2 linked regions of the Struthio camelus genome follow. The protein of the gene in region 2 binds, or shares a complex with, the protein of the main gene of each other region. Links are inferred from orthologs where the notes say so. Each region holds a gene or a part of one and is shown on either strand. Other genes may lie near its edges.

Region 1 (7,588 bases), on a different chromosome or scaffold from region 2:
CACAGGACCAAAGAGCAATAGCCTAAATGAGCTTTGGGCTATCTGTCATGCTACATACATGTGAGGAACAAATAAAGGATTAAATCACAACAGAAGAACACTGACTGACTGAAGTACTTTAACTTCTTGAAAAGATAAGCTACACTGCTCAGCCACTTGTATAGTTGATGAAAACTACAGGATAAACATTCTGGAAAGCAGACGAGTTTCTTTCTGACGCTGCGGACGTGTCCACAGCCTAGTGAGCTCTGGGCCATCTGCGACCATTGCTCTTTCAGAGCAAAGCCTGCCCTGATAACCGGCAAGCCCTAGGAGTATGAAGGGATAACAGCCTCTGGGAAAGGTTTTGTCTGACAAAGACAAACTATATTGCTTGACTAATAGCCACGTTACCTGAAAGACAGTTTTTTAAGCTATTCCAGGCTCTCAGCTGGTTCTCTAAGGAAATGCAAGAACTCCATGGGCCACAATATGCCGATCTGCCTGTATCTGCTTCTGTGTTCCCTTCAAGAGCTGAAGTACACCTGCAGAAGCAAGGGGGAGACCACACACAGTACAGAAGGCCACACATAACACCTCATTTTGCCAGCATGAATGTTCTAATAAATACTTCATCCAGCACCATCTACCTGCTGTAAGACAACAAACTGCTGTATTTGAAGCAACCTCCCAGTCCACTACACATGTTTCTTAAAGGGGATCTTGAAGCTACCCAACCAGAAGTTTATTTTGCCCCGGGCATTTATTTCGGATAAAATTTCAGTTTTATTCCTGAAAAAAGCAGAAAGTGGGAGCCCAACCTGAAAAAATATTTGCTGCAAAGGTCAGTAATGAAGTCTGAGAGGAGAAAGAGCTCAAAGCACAAACAACTTCAAGAATGAGGTACCTGACCTGAGCCCAAACACCATATAATTTAAATATTTTTAAATCTTCATGTTGAATCAAAAACATTAGATAAATTATTTAAATATTATGATTAGGAGGGTGTTTTTACAAAAGTCCATAAATACATAAAACAGTTATATCAACTGAAACTTTCCCATTATCAAATGGAAGTTATTAAGTAAGTACTGAAACAGTGGCATATCACAATCAAAAAGATAAAACAGTTAGTATCAACCATTCACCTTACAGAAACACGCCCCATATAAGATGCTTCATTCTTACAACAGAAGACAGTCTGATTAAAGCATACTTTATGAGGAAGGATGCCCTATTAGTATATATTCCTTTATACTGATATAAAAACATCCCATTATTATACAGATCCAGCCATGTATGTCCCTATGTCAATACAGGGAAACATAAATAACTTTCCAACCAGCCCTTAGATATAGGTGAAGAATCTTGTATCTAACATTTTATATTTAATGGATTAACACAGAAATAAATCTCCTAGAAAAATTAGCATATTTAAGTGTATGTATTCACACGTAAGGAGAGAGACAGCAGCAGGGGAGAAGACTGCTGCTTTCAACAAATATACGTGCTGTCTAACCGTATTTTAAAGAACTTTCAGTAGACGCCACGTCATTCCTACTTCTTTTAACAGGAAAAGTAAACTAATGAAATGTGGTCTTGTGAAAAGACTCAACGCACAGCCATCTAACAGCAGGGGTCTGCAGGAGTTCAAAGCAGAGAAACATACTTTTACCTGCTTCCCAAAATTACGTTTATATACATTTGAAAGCATCTGCTTAAACCTAACCCGCCTGTGCAACTGTTCAGGAACTGTTCAGGCACAGAAGAAACGCTCATGGGAAATTCTCCTTGAGACAACAAGCTGACTGGAAAAAAAAAAAAAAAAGGAAAAAAACAACCTCAGCAAGTTATTCTACCTAGGAAACTAAGGGGCAGTGGGCAGAGATAAGGAGTAGTAATAGCTTGAAAGAATCTTTTAAAACAGCAGAGGCTTTCCGCTCATCACCTTCTCACTTCTTTAGAGCACAAAAACACAATCTTGGCATAGCTGAGTCAGAACATTGATAAGATACAAAATGCAGGTGCTGGCTGGCCTAGCAAGTGCAGTCCCACCCTTTCTCCTATTGTGAAGGAAATAAACAAATAAAACATTTCAACATACTCGGAGAGTGTTGCTGTTCCCTTCTCTGAACCTGGTTCATCCAGCAATTCCACTGTAATAGAAATAAATAGTTTATACTCTAGCACTAACAAGCAACTTCCTAACACTCATTTTCCCCCAAAACGAAGAGTCCAAACTGATACTAACCAGCAGACTTGCACAAAAGAAAATGGACTCAAAACATAGCTTAAATAAAAATAATTCACTCTGATGTACAATTCTGTAAAAATTAACTTATATCACTAGCCTAGATGAGATCTATTTCAGAACTGTAGCATTTAAGCAAAACTAATTCATGGTTTACCATCCTTTCAAAGACACAAAGTCAATATCAAACTACAACTTATTACTTTACAGACTATTACTACAAAACAGCTACATGGAAAAAGATAGAATGGACATAGTTAAGCACTTAAGTCTGATAAAGACTTGTAAAGAGCCTTCTAGCTCTTTCCCACCACTACTTTGCTCTTTGTCCCCAAAGCAAAGCTTAGCACCTGCAGCAGAAACGCACAGGACCATCATGCACTACAAACATTTTTCTTAAATAATTCCGTATTTTTACCACTAATGAATCACAGAAAGAGGGTCAGATAAAACAGAGCACTTAACAGAGATGCTTTTCATCTCTGCAAGTGAATGCAAAAAAACAAGTCAATCAGAATCCCTGTTTTCAGGGATTTAACTTCCCAGGGGAGTCCATCACTGAGTCTTCCATATATAAGAACATAGACATTGAATGTAACCTGCCTTTAAGAAGCACACAGGATGCATGCATATCTCAACTGGCCTTACTGGACTTTATTCATTATTTAACTCAAAAGCTTTAAGGCAGTACAGTCACGAGACCTTCATAAGGCATGGAATTACTATTATTTTATAGAAGATAACTGGGGAACAGAGAAGTTCCGCGACTTTGACAATGTTCTCATTCCTAGGGATTTTGGGGAAAAGTTGTGCAACTGAAGAATTCAGCAGAGCGTCCACAATTAGATTAAAAAGCGCTAAGAGCAGCCATGATCCCTGTGCCTTAATATGCACTAAGAAAGGCTTCACCATTGACTATTTCAGGGCCAAAAAACATCTTTGCTCCCGGGGCACTTCTGCCAGTGTCCAAGTTCTTCACTGAAATGAAAAAGAAAAACAATCCATCATGTTCCACTGTTAGGAATAAAAGCTTATCCTTTGCAAAACAAAACAAGACCTTAGGGCTGATTAGCTCTACTAATTCCACCTGAAAAAAAAAAAAAAGCAACAAGTCAGGTCTCAATAACAAGTTTTTTACTCAACAGAAGAGTGCTTCCACAAAGTGATTGTGTACACCTAGTAGGACCAAGTTATGATCTTTTACACCCACATGATCTAAACAACTGAGAGCATAATTCGAGGCACCTTTTACCTTAAGTAGATGCTTTATTTATCCCAGTGACTGGGCTTGGCTCTCAGAAAGCACATACCGATGCTAGGCTGTGTACAACTAGCAGCAGGCACGCTCTGCGTGGGAGCCTGCACACACTAGCTCTAAATGGTTTCTGCATGGCATTAGCATGGTTATTTTTAGACTTTTGAAAGTTCAGCCACTTAGTAACTAGAGTGCCACAGACCCTAGTTAAGATATAATTTTTTTTAAGGCTGAGCAAGATGCCAGTACACCACTGCCCTTCCCCCATAAGGCTGCCTCCACGCAGATTTAGCTTACTCGCAAGGGTGGGGGGAAAAAAACGAGGGGCGGTTACAGTGCTTTTTGAACATGGAGCTCAGACTTTTACGCGCAGCACTCTGGAAGGTGACGAGCAACTCGCAGCCTCAGCCAACCCCACGAGGGGCGGGGGGCTGCTAACGGCCCAACGGCCGCAGGGGCGCCCCCGCCCCGCCCCGGCCGGGCCGGGCGCGCCGGCGGCGCTGCGGGGCTGCCTGCCTGCCGGCCCGGCCCCGACCTGTCCGCAGGAGCAGGCTCCGGTCGGGGTTCACGTGCTGCAGCACCCCTTGGAAAACGCCACATTTTAAGGTGATTTTGACGGTTCTCCCCAGGATGGCACCGAAGTGCTCGCTGCTGAGGGCCATGCGGCAGCCGGCGGCGGTGGCAGGCGGCGGCAGCACGGACGGGGTCCCCCGGCGCGGCCAGCCGGGCTCCTCACGGGGCACCTACGGCACGGAGCAAGGAACGGGGCTGAAGGCCTGGGCCGGCCGCGGCAGCGCGCAGCGCCCCCACAGAGCCGAGAGGCGGCGGGCGCTCGCCTCACCGCCGCGGAGAGCCGAGCTGCGGCCCCGCCCCGCGGGGCGGAGCCACCATAGCCCCTACCCAATCGCCGGGGGAGGGCCGAGCGCGCGCAGCTTACCGCCATGACGTTCCGGAGGAGGGATTGGGGGGGGGATAAGGAATTACAGCTGCTTCGCGCAGTGCACGCCGGGAGCAGCAGGCGGCCTGCGGCTCAGCTTTAGCAGCCGCCCGCGATGACGTCAGAGGCGGGCGCGTGCCCGCTCGTTGGCGGGGCGTCGCTCTGCGCGTGCGCCCGCGGGTTGGCCCACGGGGGCGGGGCGGGGGCGGGCTGGCCTTTCGCTGAACCGCCGCTGCTGCTGACGGGTGCGTGTCGTTGTCCGGTTCGGCCCGGTACGGCGCGGAGCGGAGCGGAGCAGAGCGGAGCGCGGCTCGGCGGCCCTGCCCGTGCGGCGGCGATGGGGTCTCGGGCGTCCACGCTGCTGCGGGACGAGGAGATCGAGGAGATCAAGAAGGAGACGGGCTGTGAGCGTGGGGCCGAGCGGGCGGGTGTCCGGAGCGGGGCAGCGGCCCGTCCCTCCGGCCGGGAAGCGTCTCGGCCGGCTGCCCCGCCGTCTGCGTCGCGCCCGGGCAGGGGGCACACCCTGGGGCGGGGGGGAGGCGAGCGCGGCCCCTGCGCTGCCGGTGGGGCAGTGCCCGGTCGCACCAGGCCCCGGGCTGGCTGCGGGGAGGTACCTCTCGGTCGGCGAGCGCCCCGGGGCCTCGCGGGGCGGAGAGGGGCTGTACTGCGGCGGCGGGAGCGGGCGAAAGGCGGGGGGAAGCAATGCACTTGGTACCTGCCGTGATCTTTGCTCTGTTGCTTTGGGTTTTGAAGAGTTGCCTGTGTTTCTGGCTCTAGAGTTTCTCTCAAGCAGCTGTTTCAGCCTAATGAGCCGCTCTGGAGAAGCTCTCATTGTATAGTACGCTTTTTCCCCAAGTGCTATTTGCGAAATGGGCTATCGCTAAAGATGCCTTAAGGATACTCCGAATGAATGCTTGAGCGACATTTAAAACGTATAGGAAATAATGTAACCTGTAAGAGTTGGGTATGGTTAATCTGGAAAAAAAAAAAAGTGAAAATTCCTGTCTTAATCAAGAAATAGGACAGCATTATCCTAACTGGATAATGCTATGTAGCTAGTTTATCCTGTAGTGTTATATTGAGTTTTCTCTAAATATAAAGACAAGGTAAAACTTAGGACTTTGTTTTGTTAATTTGGCTGATTACAATGATTGCCAATTTGAGAATGATAGTGAATGATGGCATATGTAGGACACCCTTAGCAGGAAAGAAGAGGGTGTGGCATCCTAGGTGTCACCTTGCTTTTTTTTTCCTTGGGTGTGTGTGGTGTTTTTTTTTTTTCCCCGCCTTCCTGTACGGAAACAAGGTCTTCCTAGATCACGCTTATTTCCTACTTGCACTTGCTGATCTGCCCTTGATACCTGAAAACACTTTACCTCTTCAGTGTAAATGTTGTCACGTATTCATTTTAGATGATAGTTTATCTGTGCCAGGAAAACAAATGAATCCAGAGAGGGAGTACAAGAAAACTGAGACGGTACTGGCCAGTATGACAGGCAGCTGAGTTAGCATACTTTCCATGATCTTTTTTCTGTCGATCAAGGGAACTTCTACAGCATCGTTATGATAAACAAGTAGGAGTTTAAGAGTCTGCTTGTCCAGCAAGAAAGTACTCTGTGATCCTTTTAAAAAATAAAGATAAAAGTAAAGGTAGCCTCCTACTAAAGAGGTTTTAAACAAACTCCAGATCCGGAATACTCTTCCAAAAGACTTAACTTTTTTGTTTCCTCTGCTCCAGTATTTGCTTTATCAGTGGTGTTTCATTCCTAGATTTTTAGATGATTGATGGTTAAATAAATATGATTAGGGTAACTATGTAGATGATCTAAGTGATAAGCCCACCTGGAGCCAGTAGAGATCCTGTTGTAGTTAGCCCCTAAAAGCTTTTTTTATATGTTTTTAAAGTGTGAAACTTAAAGACTGTGGCCAGCAGGTGTAAGCTTTGTGACCTGAATTTGGCTAATCTGCCTTTTTTTTTTTTTTTTTTTTACTATTCACATTTATGTGCAGTGTTGTAAAATACAGCATTATTAATCAAGCATTGCTAATCTTCTTATGCCTGTTTGTAAGTTGTCATAGAGTATCTGTTTTGGGGCTTTATCAGTCTTTCTCTTTTTTTCCCTGCATGTAACCATATGATTCTCCTCTGCCTTTTGTAGTTCTTTAGATTAGGCTTTAGGTAGCACAGTCATAACCTTTGCATAGGTGCAAATATCTGTGCAAGGTGCAAGATGGGGAAAAACCAGACTGGATTATTTGGAACAGAGTTCACTGGAAGAATGCTAAGCCAGTGTCACTGAGTAGAGTATCCTACAATTTGTTAGAAACTCGATACTGATGGTACTTCACCTACTGAAGAGTTTGAGAAAGGGACTTAATGAAAGGAAAACTATTTGGCAGGACTGAATGTCCATCTTGAACTAATGTTCTGGTAAGCACTTCTAAGGATTCTTTCTTTTCTGGGGGATTCCTTACTGTGAAACAACTTTTCCAGTTCATTTTGGGTAAGTGCAAATGCATGAACAGAACACTTAACCTATTGGAAGGTGTTGAACTATGGAAGTATATAACTCCTCTCTTCCTTAATTTTTAAATAGCACAAAACTGAACAGCTAATGACACTGATAGGAGTGATAAATCATATGTTAATGGTCTTTAGCTGAGCAGATTAAAAAAAAATCTTTGAAGGGAATTTGTAGCAGTCTTTCAGAAGCCATACGCTGACGCTTAGAAATATCTTGGATGAAATCTAAGTTGTGATTCAGGTTCTATATTGCTTGTCTTTTTAATTGTGGTGGAAAAAGACACTTTTTAGCATATTAAGTTTAGAAACATGTATAAAAGTAATGCTTCCGAGAACTGACAAGTATGTATTTGCTTGTAAAGCCTTTGCTTAGTGGCAGATAATCTGCAGTAGGTACTCAGTAACGGGAGTTGAGCATCAAGTTGACAGTCCTAAATATTACATGATGTTTTGCAGAATTTGTTTGCTGTGCATATAAACATTCTGAAATTAGAGTTTGAAAAAACATTCAAGTAGTCCTAATTGCTCTTATATTTTAGTAACCACTAAAAGAAGTCGATGAAAGTTCCTAGATGTTACTTGTCAGCATTCTGCTGCAAGCTTTTAGAAAAGCCTCGGAATGTAACAGTATTTAAACTACTT
Region 2 (7,519 bases):
TTTGTTATTTAACATGTGCTTGTTTCTTCTTTAAGCAACTCACCTCTGTCTTGCCTTCCCTCCCAGGTTCAGCTACAGAAGGCTGAATACTGAAACAGTGCAGAGAGATGCACTTTTATTTCCTTTTTTACCAACTTAATGTCTGAAATCTGTGGTTGCGGCTTCTGTCACACTCCACTCCCCCCCCCCCTCGAGTTTTTGACATAGAGTAAAATAACAATTCCTTTTTAAAGACCAGCAAATACATACTCATTTAGGACTAAGCAAACTACTAGCGAGCTGCATCTTGTCACTGGTATATGCGTTTGTTTTGGTCTCGCTGATGTGAGCAGCTGGAAAAAAGGATATGTGGGGAAACATGACAAAGCTGAATTTGGACGGACAGAGAGTGAGGCACGTGGGAGATTTAAGGACTGGGATGAAAGTTCACACGCAAGTAGCCGTCGAGGGTTCTTTAGGTCTCAGAATTTGGGATTATTGGTGAGCACTGGCAGAAAAGATTTACGGAAAGAAAGGAGGGCAGAGGCCAGCAGTACGCAGAAACTGAACAGATAATGGGATGCCAAAAAAGGGAGGAGTGCGAAGGGTGCAATATGAGAGCGAAGGGAGGAGAGTGGAAGACGCAGATTGGCAGAGATGAAAACTCTGCAGTCTTAAAGTCTGGATTTAAGGATTATGCTTTGTTCTGCATTTGACCACTACCAAGCCCAGGAAAATTCTAACCCACAATAGAAAAATGGTCATTCAAATAGGAATTTAAATAAGGAGGAGTTTTTATGCAAATGACATTTTATAAAAGCATGTTTTTTCTGAACGTTGGATGATAAAATGTATTAGGTATCTGGTGTCAAAAAGACATGGTGCTAAAAATGGGTGATCTGGTTAAAAATGCCCTCTATTTTCTGTCCTTGAAAATTCAACTAGTCAGGTCTTGAAACGAGGCTTTGCATAAAAAAAAAAAAAAAATCAAGCAAGTTTCCTCTGCCATACCACTTTCCAGCCAAAGGAATCCACCCGTCTCTCCATCTGACTCACGCGCCCCCCACCGCCACCCCAGCCTTCTTCTTGCCCGCTTAAACTTGCGGCAATGTGCGTGGGTTGTAATAGTACATTGCTTCTCATAGCCATTTGAGAGGTTCATATTCATCATGCTGTAACATAATATTCTGCAACGCTACTCAGCTCAGCAACATTTGTCCGACTCTTTGTTGCACAAACTGGTACAGCTGCGCTCATTTCTCCAGGAGAGAAACTGGCACCATGTCAGTTGTTGCATCAAGTAGGTTTAACTATAAATTCATAAAGCTCTGCATTCATCTGCATATAACCCACATTACATTGATTTTCACGACGTAGTACAGCTATGTTGGTTCAATGCCATTCACAAGAATTAGTGTTCTTTTTAACTATTTAACTGTTGGTGGAATTAGGACATAAATATATTGTCCAGGACTATATTCCTTTCAAAATCTTACCTTACCTACTTACGTGTTTTGTAGGAGTTAATATGAAAACCGTACATTTCCTTGAGGGAAGTCAAGGATGGTAGTGAGTGATGGTCATTTATATTGTGGCAGGAGATTTTCACAGTTCATTTGCAGATTCTTCACTTGGATTTATTTGTTTTCTTTTACAGAAGTTCTGGGTTCCACAGGAACATATTTCTTAATTTCACTTCATTTAAACACAATTGTTTGCAAATGTCATCATTCAAATTTCTACCTCTGACTGTGGTTAGTACAACTGAAATTCTCAGCATATGCTTTCTAGAGAAAACTAATGTAATTTTAAAGATTCAAATTAATCTTTTTTATTGACATTATATTTAAAATAATCCCCAAGGGTTAATTCTTGCAACACACAGAGCATGTGAGGGGTGTATGAGATACTACTAATTGCATTCAAAAACCATAAGCAATTACTTACATAATATTCCCAGAAGTGACAATGTTGAAATTTTTTATTTAGAAAAAATCACTCAGGGGCTAGCCAGCATTTTATAATTCCTAGAAATAATCCTTTTGTAATATTTCAAAGCTCCTGTTTCTTATTTTGGAGAGTCAGGAAATATCAACTGTTGTGTAATAGATTTTTATGGCAAACATAGTACTGAAGCTCCTTCTATTTGTTGCTGATACAGAATGAAACTACGGGAAACTGCCTGAGGGCTTCCACAAAGGACCTTCAAGAATATAACATCTATGAATACATATATATATGCAAACTTATTATTTTAACAGAGGTTTGCTCTTAATGTGCAACTATACATTCTGTACATGGGCACATATATATTCAGTGGAATGGGCTTTTAACAGGTATTCGTGCACATGTCTGTGCTAAGATAATATTTCTAACATTTTTCCTGTTTGCTAATACTGCCTTAAGTCCACCAAGGTCAGGAAACCGAAAGCTTTCACGTAACTTAGTTTGTGCATTGCCACTGCTGCCATGAGTGGAGCACTCCCTAAGGACAACCAGAAGCATGCTCTTGGCTGTAGGTCCTCCAAGTGAGGTGTCAGCCTTCGCCTGTCTGTGGAAAGGGTCCACTGGAGGGTTTCTCATATTTTCTAGTGTAGCCGCAGGTATTCACGCTCTCTGGCCCATTTGTCCTACCATTGATTAGCTTCAACACTTTTAATAGGCAGGTTTATTTTTAACCCAGTTATCATTTTGATGGAACCAGATGTGAGAACGATCACGTACAGAAGCTGGAACCCTATAGCAGTTGTGGTGCCCTTTTATTAGCTGCAGCTAAAACAAGCTATTTGATTGTGGTGTGATGGAATAAACTGGGATACTAAGAAATGTGCTGATAGCTTGTATCCACTAAAATTCCCTTTTGGCAAATATCAGCAAACGGAACTGATGCTGACAGCGATGAACTGCTACTATCCACAGATCTCAGCAACTTAGGATACAGCGATGATCAGCAGCTACTTACTTCCTTCTAACCATAGTTTTCTCCACAATGGCAGTGCACAAAAATGTTATTCTATGATTGGCCAGAACCATTCCCAAAAACTTTTAAAAAACTAGAGCCCAAAGTCTCAAGGGCATTTAGGTATCCAACTCACATTTAGAAAAAGCTAGAAAAAAGAAAAGATGGTATTTTAGTTGTTAGGCACCAAAACGTTATTTGGCTACAACATTTCCTAAATGTAAAAGGAGTGTGTTGCTGTCTATCCTGCTTCCTAATAAATTGCCAATTCCGTCTTCAGACTGGCTCCTAGTCTAAAAAAAACTCCACATAATTTTCTTTCCCTTAAATAACGAAGAAATAGAGGAAATAAAAAACACAAGGTATGTGATTGTTTGACGAGAGGCATCAGGGCAAGCCTGGCACTTGCTTTGAGGTTATAACTGAATCTTCAGTGCATTAACTTAGCAGAACTTTGCTCCTCGAGTTCCTTAGCTAAATGAGATTATAATGTGATAATGATGGACACTCTTTGTAACAATGACATTCTATGCAAATTTATTGTTTTAATTGACCAGTTAATTGATTTATAGAGTGCCTGTGCAGGCTTTTAACATAGTTCATCTAGGCTTCGAAAAGGTATCTTGTTTTTATCCCAGGTGATTAAAATAATCAAAACTGCTTCTTTATCTTCTGAACATTTTGCAGGAGAGTTTATCAGGTTCGGTTTTTGAACTCTAAGAAAAAAAACAACCAAATTCAAAAAAAAAAAAACCACAGAAAAACAGCTCTCGGGTAAGGAAAGTGAGCAGGTAGTATTTTTCCACCGAGAGTCACATAGGCAGCAGACCGCACGTGTGGCAGCCGGGTTGCTGCAGCGCAGCCGGGGCAGCCGGGCGCTGCAGCCGCTGCTGCCTGCGGAAGGGCGCGCGGAGCTGCGCTTGCCGGGGGCGCACGGGGGCACGGACGGCGCGGGGTGGGGGGGTGATTGCCCCGGCTCCTCCGGCCTGCAGCGCAAGCGAGAGCGGGCAGGTGGGGTCAGCGAGAAAGAAGGCTGGGGGGGGGGGGGGGGGGAAGTGCCAAACTCCGAAAGACTCCGCGTTGTAAGCACGCAGAAGAGCAGGCGAAGCAGCCGCAGGCAGCGCGTCTCACGCAGCACAGCTGAGCAAAACCAAACCAAGCAACCAACCCCCGAAAGCAGACCTAAGCATGCAGCCAAGCCCTGCCTGCTGCTACCAGCTGCCCTAGCACCTGGTGGAGAGCGTGCCCGCGGGTGGACCGGGGAAAGGGTTGGGCTGAGGGACGGTGGGATCCCCTGCCCGCTCGCCGCCGGGCGCCCCTGGCCGGGGCGATGCCGGCGGCAGCGCCGCAGCCCCCCCCCCCCGCCGCCCCGCAGCGCGGCGCCGCTGCCCAGGCGCCCAGCGGCAGCAGCAGCGGCGGCGGCGGCTCCGCGGGTGCGGCGGCGAAGCTCCGCCCCCGGCGCTCGCGGGGGCGGGGGGGGGCAGCCGCATAAAGGCAGGTGCGGGCGGCCGGCTGGCCCCGCCGCGGAGCATCCGCCGGCGCGCAGAGAGCCCCTCCGTGGCCGCCCCGTCCAGGCGCGCATGCTGCCGCTCCGCGGAGCACGGAGGCTGGGTTTCCGCGGGCCGCGCTGCAAGGGCTCTCGCTACGCGGCCGGGAGATGGGGCAGGCGCCCCGCCTGGGGCTGCTTCTGGGGCTGATGGCGCTGCCGGCGGCGCTGGGGCAGCGGAGCTCGGGCAGCCCTATAAATAGCAGCCAGCCTCAGACCTTCGCCGTCGTCTCTTTCAAGTGGGATCACGTCAAGGACCCCTATGTCATTACACTCTGGGTACTTGTGGCCAGCTTGGCCAAAATCGGTGAGTCCGGAGTTATATCTTAATGCATACCTCCTCTCCTCCTCCCCTCCCCTTCCCCTTCTCCCACCCCACGTAAATGAAGAAAGCTTATCGTAAGTCCACTGACCCGTTTTCAGGGGTTTTACTGTACTCTGTCCTGATTTCATAACACTGCCCTCCGCTGTGCTGAGCAGTGTGCTCTTCACCCGCCGCGGCGGGTTACCCGGTTCGCCTGCAGCGCCGGGGGCGGCGGAGCTGCCGCCGGCTCCGTGCGGGGCCGCGCGTCCCCTGAAGCCCTGCCTCGCTGCCCCCCGGGGCCGGCTGGCCGCCGAAGCGAGGCGCAAATCGCGCCTTGCTGCTCTAGCCGGTGGTCCGCCGTCCTCCCCAGGGTGGTCGGTGGTTACGCTGGCCAGCGCTGTCCCGAGCCACGCTGACCCGAAGTGAGCAGCCTCTGCTCTGCCGAGCGATGTTTGCAGGAGAATGAGAAAACAGAGTTTGCAGGGGAGGGTAATATGTTCTGTCAGGCCCTATCATACAGCTGAAGGAAGGCAGACTTCAGAGCGCGCAGGGTTTTCCTCGAGCGAGTAGAGTGAGTGAAAAGCAAGGGCTCAGCGAGCGGAGTAGGAGTAAACTTAGGTCTGCTCCAGCTCCTGTGTTCTGAACCTCACGGCTCTGCCAAAAGCAGTCTTAACGTTAATAAGCCTCCAAAAGCAGTGTCAGCTCAGAAGGCATTATCAGCTGAAAATCATGCAAATGCTTTTCTGTACTTGTATTGATAATAATATCTGGAGATACCGGAATCATCTTCCACAGATTTCGCATGTCACACAGAATCAATGATGTAAATGGACAGCACAGGTATACCGTTTCTAACGCATAAGTTAAGTGCGATAAGGTTTGGGTGGAAAGTGCTGTCTCCAAATGCAAATAAAGCCTAATAAAACTTTCTTTTTTAAATCAGGGGAGGTTATTAACAGGTGATCTTGTAAAACAGGTTTTCTTACTGACACCTACATCCTGGGCTCCAACTGTTTAACTGTACATATATAACTTTAATATCTTTATCTGGTTTACTATTGGGCTATATCTTGAAACTACTTTATGTTCACATGGCTGATGCATTAATGAGATTATATGAAAATATAATTATGATTTAATTGACTTTTACTGATGGGCTGTATCAACTAGAAAGATAAGGGAACCAAATATAGAGGGAAAAAGGGTGACAATGTTGATTCCCTGTAGATTTGTGCTAAAACACAATTTTCTGGTTTGAATCTCCCTTTCGAGATATTATAAGTTAATATTTGCCTCTGTTATTAAGGTTTGACTGCTTTGTGTATGTGCCACTGCTGTACACAGTAGTATTTGTGCTGCACAGCATATCAGTGTTGTGGCAGAAACACTATGCAGCTAACAGGGCTGTGAGATTGTCCTGTATTTAAATTGCAATGGCCTGGATTAAGATGAGCCTGGATTAAGATGAGCCATTTTACCATGAAGTACTCAGTATACTTATAAACACCTGATAAAGTACTAAGTGTTCTTGGATTTTGTGCAGCATTTACTTCAGAAGTAAGAAGTTCAGGAACTGAATGTCACTGGTTCTATTTTTAAATTATTTGCACTCCTTTCACAGCTGCACAGAGCATGTCACCTGCTGGTAGGCAGCATCTATCATTTTCTGCATCAGTTTCCTTCTCCAAAGCTCTCAGACTTCATTCTCTCCTCTCTTTGCATTCGTAATTGTAATACTGTACTCCTCTGGCCATAGTCTCTGCAGAAGCAGTGGACAACTGCTGTGCTCTACTGAGAGCCTGTGAATGCCCCTGGTTTCCCCACTAGCCACAAATAAAATACAGATGAGCAGAAGTGTACACTTGTTGGTCAACAGCTGGTTGATGCAGAAAGCATGGAGGGGTCCATACAACCCAACAGGAAAGGGCACTGAAGGACAAGGAAGCCTGTCAGCCTCCTACCAGCCAGGTGTGTCAAGGGCTTTGGAAAGTAGACCAGAAATCAATTAGAAGACTTTTTTTTTGAAGAGGAAAAATGCCAAGACCAAGAAGATCCATCGATTCCAAAAGCAGATGTAAGAGAACCAAGGAAGAAAACTCAGAACATCTGCCCCTGTGTATCCTGGTTTGCCAGCTGGTGGGGGTGGGGGTGCGGGGGAAGGCAGCAGAGCTGAGCCACAGCCTTTGCTGTGTGTTATTCAGCAGGATGAGGGGCACTTCTCACCTATTCAGGCTCACTCATCTGTAGCTGCAGAGGATGGTAGAGATATTTTACTGGTGGATAGGTTTGATGGCAATTGGGTTAGCAAAAGGTCTTCTGGGAGCTGCAGCAACTTGACCTATTATTGGAAGCTGGGAATGAAAATTGAGAGGATTTTACCTTCTTTTGCGTTAGGAGAACCTTAGTTTTTATTTTTTCTGAGTAAAATTGGTTCATTCCATTATGTTATATGGCTTTGGGGAGAGTACATTTAATAGGAGATTCATGCGGCTCTACTGAGTCTTGATATTCCTGTTGTATACATATAGAATGGAAATTAGTACTGACATTTATGTTCTGTAACATAAACTATTGTTTATGAAATCTTCTAAGCATCCAAAATGTGCAAAGAAACACCTAGTGTTTTGGGCTTTGTGGAAAAGAAGCCTTTCTTTTTTATTCCTCTTGTTTTTCTTTTCCCTTCCTGCTTGTGAAGGATACTTATCTCTTGGGCAAGCCTAAGTATTACTAC

Evidence for each region.
Region 1: the proteins of SLC9A3 (region 2) and CHP1 are in contact, whole or in part, in a cryo-EM structure (PDB 7X2U), measured with the Homo sapiens proteins. The link is inferred for Struthio camelus from reciprocal best matches to the Homo sapiens genes SLC9A3 and CHP1. Residues at the interface, in NP_004165.2 of Homo sapiens: Tyr396, Arg397, Met398, Gln400, Glu402, Arg474, Leu475, Asn476, Glu477, Leu479, His480, Gly481, Arg482, Ala483, Phe484, Asp485, His486, Ile487, Leu488, Ser489, Ala490, Ile491, Glu492, Asp493, Ile494, Ser495, Gly496, Gln497, Asn501, Arg504; in NP_009167.1 of Homo sapiens: Arg30, Leu31, Arg34, Leu38, Lys40, Glu49, Phe51, Gln52, Arg53, Ile54, Glu56, Leu57, Ala58, Ile59, Asn60, Pro61, Leu62, Asp64, Ile66, Phe70, Phe83, Leu87, Phe90, Leu115, Phe117, Ala118, Leu121, Tyr122, Leu135, Leu139.

The regions. Positions count from the first base shown.
Region 1 is NC_090946.1:41,177,529-41,185,116, forward strand, and holds the start of CHP1 (calcineurin B homologous protein 1), read left to right. Parts: upstream 1-4,522; 5' UTR 4,523-4,537; coding exon 4,538-4,826; intron 4,827-7,588. Other genes in the region: piRNA biogenesis protein EXD1, read right to left, coding at 394-524, 2,084-2,135, 3,140-3,208, 4,021-4,228, 4,423-4,428. UniProt on the Homo sapiens protein: Calcium-binding protein involved in different processes such as regulation of vesicular trafficking, plasma membrane Na(+)/H(+) exchanger and gene transcription. Involved in the constitutive exocytic membrane traffic.
Region 2 is NC_090943.1:78,604,657-78,612,175, forward strand, and holds the start of SLC9A3 (sodium/hydrogen exchanger 3), read left to right. Parts: upstream 1-4,459; 5' UTR 4,460-4,595; coding exon 4,596-4,791; intron 4,792-7,519. UniProt on the Homo sapiens protein: Plasma membrane Na(+)/H(+) antiporter. Exchanges intracellular H(+) ions for extracellular Na(+) in 1:1 stoichiometry, playing a key role in salt and fluid absorption and pH homeostasis.